Oryctolagus cuniculus: one gene and its partners. The protein of the gene in region 2 interacts with the protein of the main gene of each other region in a pairwise test. Links are inferred from orthologs where the notes say so. Each region holds a gene or a part of one and is shown on either strand. Other genes may lie near its edges.

Region 1 (3,715 bases), on a different chromosome or scaffold from region 2:
TTGGATTCCATAGAGTACTTCGGAAAACAGTATCCTCATCTGATTATCGTTTCACTGATTAGGACAAGGTGGCCAAAAAGAGAAAACAAAACAAAACAAAATCGGACTGAGCTGCCTGGTAGGGCCAGCTGTTTTCCAGACCAATGATTTTTTTTCTCACCAAACACCAAACCACAGGTACAAATCAACGATAGATCCTTGGGGACCATTCCTTGGTTTTAAATAACTTCCCTTCTGTGTAATCTAGAGGAGTTGCAGTGGATGTAGGAAGAAGGGGGCAACACTCAAAGCAAAACCCACCTTTGAAGAGGATCAAGTCAAGTCTGGTCTCAGGATAGAGACCATTTTTCTCCCCTTGGTGGAAAGGGCACCCAGGAAGACCACATGAGCTCCCCTGAAGGAGGAGGTCCTTTTGAGTATCATAACCCGTATGGGACCTCCACTCTCCAACCTGCCTCAAATTGCCCTATAAACCGATCCTGTATCCTCCGTCCAAGTACTAAAAATGCTATATATGCCAGGCCTCTGCAAGATACGTAACTCCACGATGATGCGGTATCATTTCCACTCTGAAGGGATTTTCCATCTGGTAGGGAACCGCAGACTTGCTAACACTTGATGCGAACCAAGCGGCGAGGAGTCGACAAGGAGGAAAGCGTTTCCCAAGGCTCTCCATGCCCACCCTAAGCCTGAAGGTAAACGGGGAGTTATTGGAGGATGTTGTCGGTTTTAAACAGAACTCTGGCCACACAGTGCGTTCTGCGACTCCACTTCCCATTATCACTTCCCCTTCCTGCTCCTCTCCTCCCCTCATCTTTTCCTTAGTTAATAACCCGCGGAAGGGTCACTCCCTCACCTCATATCATCAAAGGGCCTTGGTCCTGGGAGCGGCCACCTCTGGCTCTAGCCTCCTGCTCATCACCAGGGGGCTCATTACCCTACATAGTACACCTGTATAAGTAATTGGTACTAACGCAAGTCTCCTGACAGACGCTGACTTAAAGACTTCCGTCCGCAGCCTCCTCAGTGACCCAACCATCAGGTAAGACGCACAGCAACTCCCATTCGGCTGGGTCACTGAATTGTCCAAACCCCAGGGTTACCAAAAACCAAACCTAAAGACCCGCCATTGACGGGGCCCGAACCCGCGTCTTTGCAGTGCTGGGCATGCGCAATCTCCCCCACGAAACCGTCACGTGGACTCGGGAGCTGGTAGGAAGCGGAAGACTAACCAGGAGGAGAAAGAAGCCCGCCCCCGGAAGTCCCGCCCATCTCTAGAGCTTGTTCCCGGAAGTGGCGCTGTTTGTCGCGGGCGTGATGGCTTCAAGGTTACTTCGCGGAGCTGGAGCGCTGGCTGCTCAGGCCCTGAGGGCCCGCGGACCCAATGGAGCGGCTGCCGTGCGCTCCATGGCTTCTGGAGGTACGCGGCGCAAGGGACCGGTGTCGTTGCTCTCCCGGGGTGGTTGGGGCTGGGGCAGGAAAGCGGGTCGGGCTCTGCAGCCCCTCTGGGCCCCAGTGGCCACCTCTCGGCCCCGAGTGCATCAAGCTCTGCGGGCGTCGCCCTGTCATTTCGGGCTTCCGCTACTGCCGCCCACCGAGCTGACCCCGCAGAGTAAGACTCCTCAGCAGAGGTGCCGGATGACCTTGGAGGGCAGGGATTGCAAACGGGATGGAGCGGGACCGGGCTGCCCTTCAAACCCGCGCCCACTCTGAGCCGAGTGGACTCTGGTTGACCAGCTTTTAGAAAAATGTCGAAAAATCGGTTTTGGTGGTTGGAGGTGTGGAGAGAGCAAAGCTTCCGCTGGTGCTGGTCTTTTGGGGCTCGTCCCTAGAGGATCCTGGGTATCTGCAGCCTTTAGGAGCCCGTGAGCCCAGTAAAACATAGACAGGAGCTCGTGTGTGGCGTTTTCCGTCTTGATCATTTGCAGCGTGCCTTTTCCTGTCTGGGTCGCTAAAGGACATAATGCACGTGTCTTCCTTTAGGTGGTGTCCCGACCGATGAGGAACAGGCCACCGGGCTGGAGAGGGAGGTCATGATGGCCGCGCGGAAGGGACTGGTGAGGAGGGGCTCCCTTCTGTGTCTTCTGTGGTGCTCATGGGTCTGGGATGGAATCGGGGGAGTCGCCAGTCCTCTCCGTGCATTTGATCCAGGCAGCCTGGCTTGTGGGAGCAGGCCTCAGCTCCGGGAGGGTAGAAGTCTTATGGCATAGTGGAGTAATTCTTTTTTTTTTTTTTTTCCAGGACCCATACAATATGCTACCCCCAAAGGCAGCTTCAGGCACCAAGGAGGACCCTAATTTAGTCCCTTCCATCACCAACAAGCGAATAGTGGGCTGCATCTGTAAGTCCCTGACACGTTTTCTTAACTATTTAAGTAGTATATTCTGTTTGGGACGGCTATAAGCTGCTTCACATCTCGTGTGTGTGTGTGCAACTCTATGAATGTAAAGAGGATGTGTGTATAACTAAGTTGTTCCCAGAGTCCTGGCTCTCACGCAGTAGGTCATCCTTACTGGAAAGAGGTGTGGAACAAGCAGCAAGACTGGCTGGCTGGAAGTGCATGATGAAGATGGAATTTTCATTCACAAATCTTGGGCAATGTTTTAGGCCCCAGGGATGCACACCAGAGTGGACCCCGTTTGGAAGTCTGTGTAGGCAAGGGTATTGCTAGAACTTACAGTGACCTTGCTGTAAGGTCGGTATATGTGCAGGTAGATGCAGGGCCTCAGTTCTTCATCTGGAGAGTAGGGAGGAGAGTTTGAACTGATGTCCTCAGATGTCAGCCACAGTTTTATTTCTGTCTCCGAGGTGTCTGGGTAAAAAAGGTCAATGTTGAAAGTCTCTCTTCTTAGACCGGATGACTTTCAAACTCCTTTTGTCCTTTCAGGTGAAGAGGACAACAGTGCTGTCATCTGGTTCTGGCTGCACAAAGGCGAGACCCAGCGATGCCCTAACTGTGGAACCCATTATAAGCTGGTGCCTCACCAGTTGGCCCACTGAGCCCCTGCGCTAACTTAATCAGAATGTGCTGTGAGGTTTCTTCTTCCCAATAAAGATTAGCCATTGTATTGGCTCCTCCTCCCGTAGGTGACTGGCTTTACTTCTTTGTTTTCTTTTCCTTTTTTTTTTTTTGTAAGATTTATTATTTTTCTTTGAAAGGCAGAGTTAAAGAGAGGCAGAGAGAGGTCTTCAATCCGCTGGTTCACTCCCCAGATGTCTGCAGCGGCCAGAGCTGTGCTGATCCGAAGCCAGGAGCTTCTTCCAGGTCTCCCATGTGGGAAACCCCAAGGACTTGGGCCATCTTCCACTGCTTTCCCAGGCCACAGCAGAGAGCTGGATCGGAAGTGGAGCAGCCAGGAGTTGAACCGGTGCCCATATGGGATGCTGGCACTGCAGGCAGCGGCTTTACCTGCTATGCCACAGTGCTGGCCCCCATATATTTTTGGGTGGGTGATTCTTACATTGGGAATAGCTCTCTGTTAATACCAGCTTGCTACTCACAGTCTACAACCAGTGTGCACTGCTTAGATTAAGTAGATTAACAACCCGGAATGCAGTGCTTGGGAGCACCTAGTGCAGGGGAAAAGACAGGCTGTGGAATCAGGCTCCACCGTTGACTGTCACTCTGGACACGCCTTTGAGGATTGGTTACATCTACAGAAAAACAGATGTCTTGTGAGGTGTTGAGAAATTACATAAGAGCCTAGCGGATAGT
Region 2 (3,741 bases):
CGGCGAGGGCCGGGGGGCTGCGCGAGGCTCCTGGCGCCCGGACGCCGCGTCCCGGCCCGGTCCCCGACCCAGCGCAGGGCGCGGTCGTCGCTGAGCCACGTGAAGCGCCAGGGCCGCCGCCGCCGCGGTTGTATAACGCCACAGCCGGCAGGGAGGCGACCGGGGCGCGCGGAGGGAGGGCAGGCGGGCACCGCGCCGGGGGCCCTTCCGCGCTCGGCCAGCAGGGCGCGGGCCCCCGGAGGCAGGGGGTGCGCGCCCGCGGGCCGTGGCCCCGAGCGGGGCTCCCGGGCAGCCAGGGGCGCGCGGCTCACACCCTCGCGGGTCAGGTGCGCGCGGCGTGCTCGGCGGCGGCCTCGGCTGCCCCCGCGCCTGGCCGCTCGCCAGCTTCCCATGGGGTGACATCCGCCCCGCCCTCGGTTCCTCCCCAAGGCGGGCAATTCCTGGACGCAGCGCCGAGCGGTGGGGGCAGGGACGCGGGACGGAAAGAAACCCCGGGCCGGGGGCCGGGCGACTCCCCGCCGCTGCGCGCCGGCTGCTCGCCGCGGGCCAGGCGGGGGAGGAGGAAGACGGCCGGGCTGCTGCGAGCGAGGGGATATTCCTCTCCCGGCTTGAGTCAGACGCGGGCGGATCCGCCCTCCCCCGTCCCCTCCCAGGAGACGGGAACTTACTTCATTTCCCTGGGGCAGGTTCGCCCACGTTGCCAACCCCTCCCCCCGCTCCTAGCCTGCGCGCCCCCCACCCGGCCGGGCACGACCCGGCCGCGCCGCCGCCCCCTCTTCGCGGAAGGCCGGCCGCAGCCGCGGACACCTGGGGGCCAGGGCCGGGCCGGGGGGAGGGGGCTCCCTCGCGGCCGCCGAGCGCTGTCCGACACGTGAGACTCATGTGACGACGGCGGGGGAGGGCGGGCAGGGCGCTCCTTCCCTCCCCGGCAGCGGCCAGACGTGCCTGGAGTCACAGGGTAGAACACGTAGCTCCAACCCACCCACTCGCTCCCATTTAACCCAGCCCGCGGCCTCTCCATTACTCCGCGCTCGCCCCCCCGCCGCCTGCCGCCTCCCCGCCCGCCCCGCGTCTCATTCACTCGGCTCGCGCGGCGCAGACCGCACCGGGAGCGCGCGGAGCCGGAGCCGGCGGCGGAGACCCCGGCCATGCACGCCCCCAACTGAAGCAGCACCTCCGAGCCGCGGCCCCCAGCAGCGCAGCGCAGTCTCGGAGGAGCCCCGCGGAGAGACCCCCTCGCCCCTCGCCCCTCGCCCCTCCCGGGACGGTCCTCACCCGGACAGCAGCGCGCAGTGGCCCCGGCTCGCCGCGCCATGGAGCGGATCCCCAGCGCGCAGCCGCCCCCTGCCTGCCTGCCGAAGGCGCCGGGGCTGGAGCACGGAGACCTCGCGGGGTAAGCAGGCGCTCCCCTCCCCGGGCCGCGGCGCGTCCCGCACCGCGTTCAGCGTGGAACGGCAGCCCGCGCTCAGGCCGAGTCACGACCCCCGCCCCGCACCCCGGTCCCTCTCCCTGCAGGATGGATTTCGCCCACATGTACCAAGTGTACAAGTCCAGGCGGGGAATCAAGCGCGGAGAGGACAGCAAGGTGAGCGCCTCCGCGGGGACCCCGCGTCCCGGCTCCCCAGGGAAAGTTTTCTGGCTGTGGGGCTGGCGAGGGGTGGGCGCGGGGCGGCCGCAGAGCGGCGTGGGAAGCTCGGGGTAGAAGGCGGTCCCGGGCGAGGCGCTGCTGGCCCGCCGACTCGTCCCCGAGCGGCGAGCAGGGGGGGCTGCGCACCCCGGCCCCCCGCACTCACCGCCCCCCGTGCGCCTCGCAGGAGACCTACAAACTGCCGCACCGGCTCATCGAGAAAAAGAGACGTGACCGGATTAACGAGTGCATCGCGCAGCTCAAGGACCTGCTGCCCGAACATCTCAAACTTACAGTAAGCGAGAAGCTGGCGCCTCTCCAGCCGCGCTCCGCTGCCCCGGCGCGGGCGGGGGTCACTCGCCGCCTGCAGGCCCCGCGAGGAACTGCGGCCCGCAGGCCCACTCCGAGCTGGCCGGGGGACTCCGAGCGGGCGGAGGGGGGGCGCCTTGCTCTGTCCCTGGGATTTTCTGGCAGCTCCTCGCAGAGGAAGGGAGACCCTCCCGGAGCTCTCCACCCACGTGGGCCCCCAACACCAGCCGGCCTTACTTTTTATAAAGTTGAAGACGGCCTGCTGCGTACTTGCAAGGTTCTCCATATTTCCTGCCTAAAAGGAGCAACGGGACAACATGCAAAAAAAATTGTTTTTCTTTAAACTTTCTTTCCTTTCTTTGCCTTTTTTTAAAAATAAAGGGACTTGTGTGATTTCTCCATCCTGTCCCGGCTGGACCGTAGCCAACAGCCTTCTGGCCCGACAGCCTTCGGTTGGGAAAAGGAGGGAGGGAAAAGCTTGGATGGTTCTAGGGTGTCAGGAAAAAGCCTCCGAAAGTGTCCTGGCTGCCAGGTGCAGGAGTCCCTGCCCGGGCGACACCGCTGCAGGGAAATGCTATCCGCCGGTCCCCCCGCGCTAAGGTCAGCTGCGGCTGCTGGGGGAATGTGTCCCGGGTAGCTGCCACTTCCAGAATGCCTCTGCTGTGGGATCTTTGCTCCGATGGTGGGGCTGTGAGTGGACTGATAGATGTCTTTGTGAAGCCTCGATCTACGGCCATAAAACTAAATTTAGCCAACGAGGAAAGGTTTTTTTTTTCTTTCACTTCCTTCAGAGACATTTCCCACTGCTCGTAAATGTCCCAGAGTGGGGACTTCGCGCCCTCACCGCCGACCCCTCTCTTAATTTCAGACTTTGGGCCACTTGGAGAAGGCGGTGGTGCTGGAGCTGACCCTGAAGCACGTGAAGGCACTGACCAGCCTGATCGACCAGCAGCAGCAGCAGATCATGGCCCTGCAGAGCGGGCTACAGGCCGGTGAGTGCCCCCGGGGCTCAGCCTGGGGTGCAGGACCCACGCCCGCGGCAAACTGCGTGTGCCCCTTCCCTGTCCTCAAAGGTCAGGCTTCTCGCTGGGTGCTGCCCGGCGTGCATGTGGATCAGTCGAGTGATAAGATGTTTCTGTGACATTTTGGCTTCAGAGCCAGTTCCGGGAGATTTCCCCCAGTGCCTTTGCAAATGCCAGGACACCTAGAATTTGCATGGCGGGTGTTTCGCCGTCGTCTCCCTCACTGGGGAGTAGATCACGGGGATGCCCTCCGTGTTTGCCTGTTTGCTGGCTTCCCCCTCCTGGCGTGATCCTGGCCAGGCCACAGCAGAAGTTTTTCTTGTGCTTCATGTGGTTCCTTGAATAGCCACCAGGTATCGTGGGATATTGCACAATCTAACGAAACCGCTGCAGTTTCATCATTCGTTTGTACTGACTTCCAGAGAATCCGTCACCTTCCAACCTTCCAGTCTGACTGCTTCCAAACCCTGTGGCCTGGGGACGCCGCCTGGGCCCACTCCCTCATGGCGCACTTCTGTGCCTTGCTTTCCGAGGCTGGGATCATAAGAATCCCCCAGACCCAGTAGGGGCTATAATCTCTTCAAATGCAAAAGTGACGCACCTGCTTCCTGGGGGAGCATGAATAAAATACATGGGGAGACTCAGAGCCAAGTCTGAGTTTACGTGCGTGCTGCTTGCGTTGGGTGTCAGCTTCCTGTAGGAGACGGTGCGCCTTCGTTCTTTGCTTCCTGTCGTAACTCTGGTCTGCATTTTGCTACGATGATATTGGCGTTCTGTAAACTG
Region 3 (3,741 bases), on a different chromosome or scaffold from region 2:
AGGAGTGGGTGGGCAGCCTTGGGGATGCTGGAAGAGCAACCCCCTGAATATTTAAGTAAGCTCCAAGGAGACGACCTGTGCAGACAAGTGGACACATGGCCAGCCTGGCGCACGCCCCCAACCTCCCCCACCATAAGCATTCCAGGTCAGCGAAGCGTTCTGTGCCCCCTACAGCCTGATCCTGAGCGTGACTAGAACCCAGGCCCCAGCTGCTCCAGGTGTGTGCCCTGTGGCTCGGCCTTCCGGTCCCCTTGGCTGTGCATTCCAGGGGCCCTTGAGCCATGGGTGGGCGTTCAGGTTGCTTCCTGCTCTTTGAGGTTCTGTCGGGTCCATGGAGCAGTGGGATTGTGGGGAGCTGTGGGATTCTGGGGCGCAGTTATCCTCAGCTTTAGCAGTCACTGCCCAGGTTTTGCAAACTGGCCGCTGCCCCGTTGGGACCTTGGGGGCAAGGCGGGATGGGGAATGGGGCGGGAACACGGGTGGCGCAGGAACTTCTCAGCTGAGTTGGTTTTTGCGGTAGGTAGACCAGATGGTGCAGAGCAGGGTGGGTGGGGACTGAGCTCCGCTTCCGGATGTGGGAATTTTCCCACGTGCTCTGGGCAGAGGTGCGCGTGGGGTGCCGGAAGGCGTGTGGGCAGTGGCTGTCCAACCGCGACCCTTGCAGCGGCTCCCGGCTCCCGGCTGTCCGCACAGCAAGGCCGCTACCGCGCCCCCACCAGTGCCCTGTGGCCCTGCCAGATTTGGGGGTTTCTTCCCCAGGCTGAGGGGCTGCTTCTGCACGATGCCCTTCACTCCTGGAGAGCCTGACTCGGGGACGCCACCCGCGGACCTGCAGGAGCGCCGGCCGTGAAGACGTGAAGACATGAAGACATGAAGACGTGAAGACGGCCGGCCTGGGTCCGCCTCTCCCGCTCAACCGGGAGGCTCAGACAGGCTGTTTGGTCTGGGTCTCAGTTCCCTTCCCTACACGGAGGGGCTGACACCCACCTGGAGGGGCCGTCACGCGGGAGGTGAGTGCTATGCCTGGGCTAGACCCCCCCAGGCCCGTGGCTGAGTTGCTGGTGCCCAGCCAATAGGTGACAGAGCCGGGATTACAGCCAGATCCCCGAGGCTTAGCCCCGTGCTGTCTCTTCCCAAGCTCGGGGGCCTCGGTCGGCCACGCGTAATCCCATCTGCCTCCTTGCGCCGGCACTGACGTTGGCTGCCCAGCTCTGCTGGCATCGCCCTGCCTGGTGGCTCGGGAGGCGGGGCGGGGGGCGGGGGGATTCAAGTCTCAGAGAACAACATCACATGCTTCCCCGGGTGACACCTGCTGCGGGAGTCTCCCAGGCGGCAGGGCTGGATTTTCCCGGCTCCTGCACCCGAGCACGGGCCCCCAGCTCTGCGGAGGGAGGAGGTAGGGGCCCCCTCCCCCCAGTCTTGGATAGTGTGACCCCTCCAACCCGTGGCTCTCGGGCTTCGGGAAGGAGAGCTTCTAGACCATGGGGAATTGTGGGAGCCGTGGGCTTTTTCCGTCTGAAGTGGCCTTAAGAACTGTGCACCTGCAGGCTGCCCTGGGAGAGGCCCCCGGGGTGGGTCTGCAGTCTGATGAGCAGGGGTAGGGGAGCGGCAGGTGTTCTGTGTGCCCTCCGTGACTGCTCCTGCCTACGTCCCCCGCTCTCTGTAGCCTGACTCCCTCCCACTGCCCTCCCACCTCCGCCCCAGCCCAGTCCTGTGTGTGGGCAGGGGCCCACTCTGTGGCTGGGTAAGAGGAGAGACTTGGGGTCACTTTTCTGTAGGACTGAGGCTGCCTAGAAAGCTCCATCTTGCGCCTGAGGCACTGAGGTCTCCCTCTGGCCAGGTAAGACCCCACGGACGGCGCACGGGGGCCGGGGCACTGGCCTGCCCTGCAGTCGCATCAGAAGTGGTCCATGGAGGCTCAGGGGCCCTCCCTCCCCTCCCACCCTGGGCAGCAGCGCTGGGGGCCCCAGACTCCGCTGAAGCCTGCTCATCGCTCCCCCTCTCCCTTGGGGCTCAGGTGCACCCAGAGGGCAGTGGGACCAGAGCCTGGAGGTTTGCGGGGGCCACCCCACACATGCATCCCTCTGGGCTGTGAGCAAAGATGGGGAGAGAGCCCGGGCCAGGCATCGCTTAGAGGCTTCCCCGGGGACCAGGCTTCTGGGAAGGACCCATCGCTCTGGGGGCTGACCCCACCCCAGTTCTGGCTACAAGAGGCCAGATTCACTGCTTCTCTGGAGATGAGAACTGGACCCACGGCCATTGCCATTCTGACAGGTGCTGGGGGCCCTCCTGGGCCGGAGGTCACTGCCAAGGCCTGGTCACCCCAGGGAGGCAGCAGGATGTCCACGCTCAGCACCCAGCCCCTGAAACCCAAGGCCCTGCACCCACCACCGGGGTCCCCGGAGTCCCCAGGCCACCAGCGGCGCCACACGCTGCCCGCCAGTGAGTTCCGCTGCCTCACCCCAGAGGATGCGGCCGGCGTGTTTGAGATTGAGCGAGAAGGTGAGCAGCTCTGGGAGGGGCCCCTTCTGTCCCTGGGAGAAGACCCTTGGGTGTCCTGTCCTGAAGGCCAGGTCCCAAGGGTCAGACCACGTGTGTGCATTCAAGAAAGTCGGGGGGCAGCAGCCCTGTTCCCATGCTTCCCTGGAGAGGGAGGGGTGCGGTTTCTGGGTGGACCCTCAGCGGGCAGTGCATGGTGGGTGGGCGGCACATTGACCCCCTCCTCCACGCCTACCCCGTGCCTCCGGCCACAGCCTTCATGTCCGTCTCGGGCAGCTGCCCCCTGTACTTGGACGAGATCCGGCACTTCCTCACCCTGTGTCCAGAGCTGTCCCTGGGCTGGTTCCAGGAGGGCCGCCTGGTGGCCTTCATCATCGGCTCACTTTGGGACAAGGAGAGGCTCACCCAGGTAAGGGTGGGCGTGGCTGCAGCTCCGGAAGAAATAAGCCCTGGGCTGCGATTTTCTTGCCCCAAGAGCGGGGAGCTGAGTTGCTGGGTCCCTCCCAGGCTCCTAGGCTTCACCCAGGGGGCTGGGATGTGGCTCCCAAGTCGGGGTCCTCCTTGTGTGCAGAGGGGCCCCCAGTGGAGGCACTTGGAGTCACCTGCTCTTGGCCTGGGCTGCATGGCTTGGGGGAAGCAGGTGCCAGAGGAGCTGCCTGGCTCACCCGCAGGAGTCGCTGACGCTGCACAGGCCCGGGGGCCGCGTGGCCCACCTGCACGTGCTGGCCGTGCACCGCGCCTGCCGGCAGCAGGGCAAGGGCTCCGTCCTGCTGTGGCGCTACCTGCAGCACCTGGGCGGCCAGCGGGCCGTGCGCCGGGCGGTGCTCATGTGTGAGGACGCCCTGGTGCCCTTCTACGAGAGGCTCGGCTTCCGCGCCGTGGGCCCGTGCGCTGTCACCGTGGGCTCCCTCGCCTTCACTGAGCTCCAGTGCTCCGTGCGGGGCCACGCCTGCCTGCGCAGGAAGAGCGGTTGCTAAGGGGGCTGCCCGCCTGGCCCCCGGGCCCCTCCTCTGCCCCAGCTGAGTGTGGCCGGAGGGGTTCCCGCCTGCCCCGTGCTCACAGCCGGGTGCCCTGTCCTCTGTGCCTGAGGCCAGGCTGGATCCCAGGTGCCCAGTCCTTTCCTGTCCACTCTCGCTCACGCCCACACTCGCTGCCCTTAGTCCTGGACGCAGGGTGCAGGGTCGGCGGTGGCAGCCCTGGGCGCCTCTTCCCCAGCCCATGGGCACCCCGTGTGTCCCCTCT

What was found.
Region 1: the proteins of BHLHE40 (region 2) and COX5B interact in binary tests that used the Homo sapiens proteins (3 or more experiments, as listed by UniProt). The two-hybrid records come from large-scale screens. The link is inferred for Oryctolagus cuniculus from reciprocal best matches to the Homo sapiens genes BHLHE40 and COX5B.
Region 3: the proteins of BHLHE40 (region 2) and AANAT interact in binary tests that used the Homo sapiens proteins (3 or more experiments, as listed by UniProt). The two-hybrid records come from large-scale screens. The link is inferred for Oryctolagus cuniculus from reciprocal best matches to the Homo sapiens genes BHLHE40 and AANAT.

Annotation. Positions count from the first base shown.
Region 1 is NC_091433.1:110,723,279-110,726,993, reverse strand, and holds COX5B (cytochrome c oxidase subunit 5B, mitochondrial), read left to right. Parts: upstream 1-1,186; 5' UTR 1,187-1,317; coding exon 1,318-1,420; intron 1,421-1,983; coding exon 1,984-2,057; intron 2,058-2,241; coding exon 2,242-2,341; intron 2,342-2,887; coding exon 2,888-3,000; 3' UTR 3,001-3,086; downstream 3,087-3,715. UniProt on the Homo sapiens protein: Component of the cytochrome c oxidase, the last enzyme in the mitochondrial electron transport chain which drives oxidative phosphorylation.
Region 2 is NC_091441.1:120,811,727-120,815,467, reverse strand, and holds the start of BHLHE40 (class E basic helix-loop-helix protein 40), read left to right. Parts: upstream 1-1,078; 5' UTR 1,079-1,313; coding exon 1,314-1,393; intron 1,394-1,515; coding exon 1,516-1,585; intron 1,586-1,793; exon of another isoform or gene 1,794-1,814; coding exon 1,815-1,922; intron 1,923-2,804; coding exon 2,805-2,928; intron 2,929-3,741. UniProt on the Homo sapiens protein: Transcriptional repressor involved in the regulation of the circadian rhythm by negatively regulating the activity of the clock genes and clock-controlled genes.
Region 3 is NC_091448.1:4,303,671-4,307,411, reverse strand, and holds the start of AANAT (serotonin N-acetyltransferase), read left to right. Parts: upstream 1-1,249; 5' UTR 1,250-1,290; coding exon 1,291-1,396; intron 1,397-1,778; exon of another isoform or gene 1,779-1,840; intron 1,841-2,274; coding exon 2,275-2,502; intron 2,503-2,753; coding exon 2,754-2,908; intron 2,909-3,170; coding exon 3,171-3,476; 3' UTR 3,477-3,741. UniProt on the Homo sapiens protein: Controls the night/day rhythm of melatonin production in the pineal gland. Catalyzes the N-acetylation of serotonin into N-acetylserotonin, the penultimate step in the synthesis of melatonin.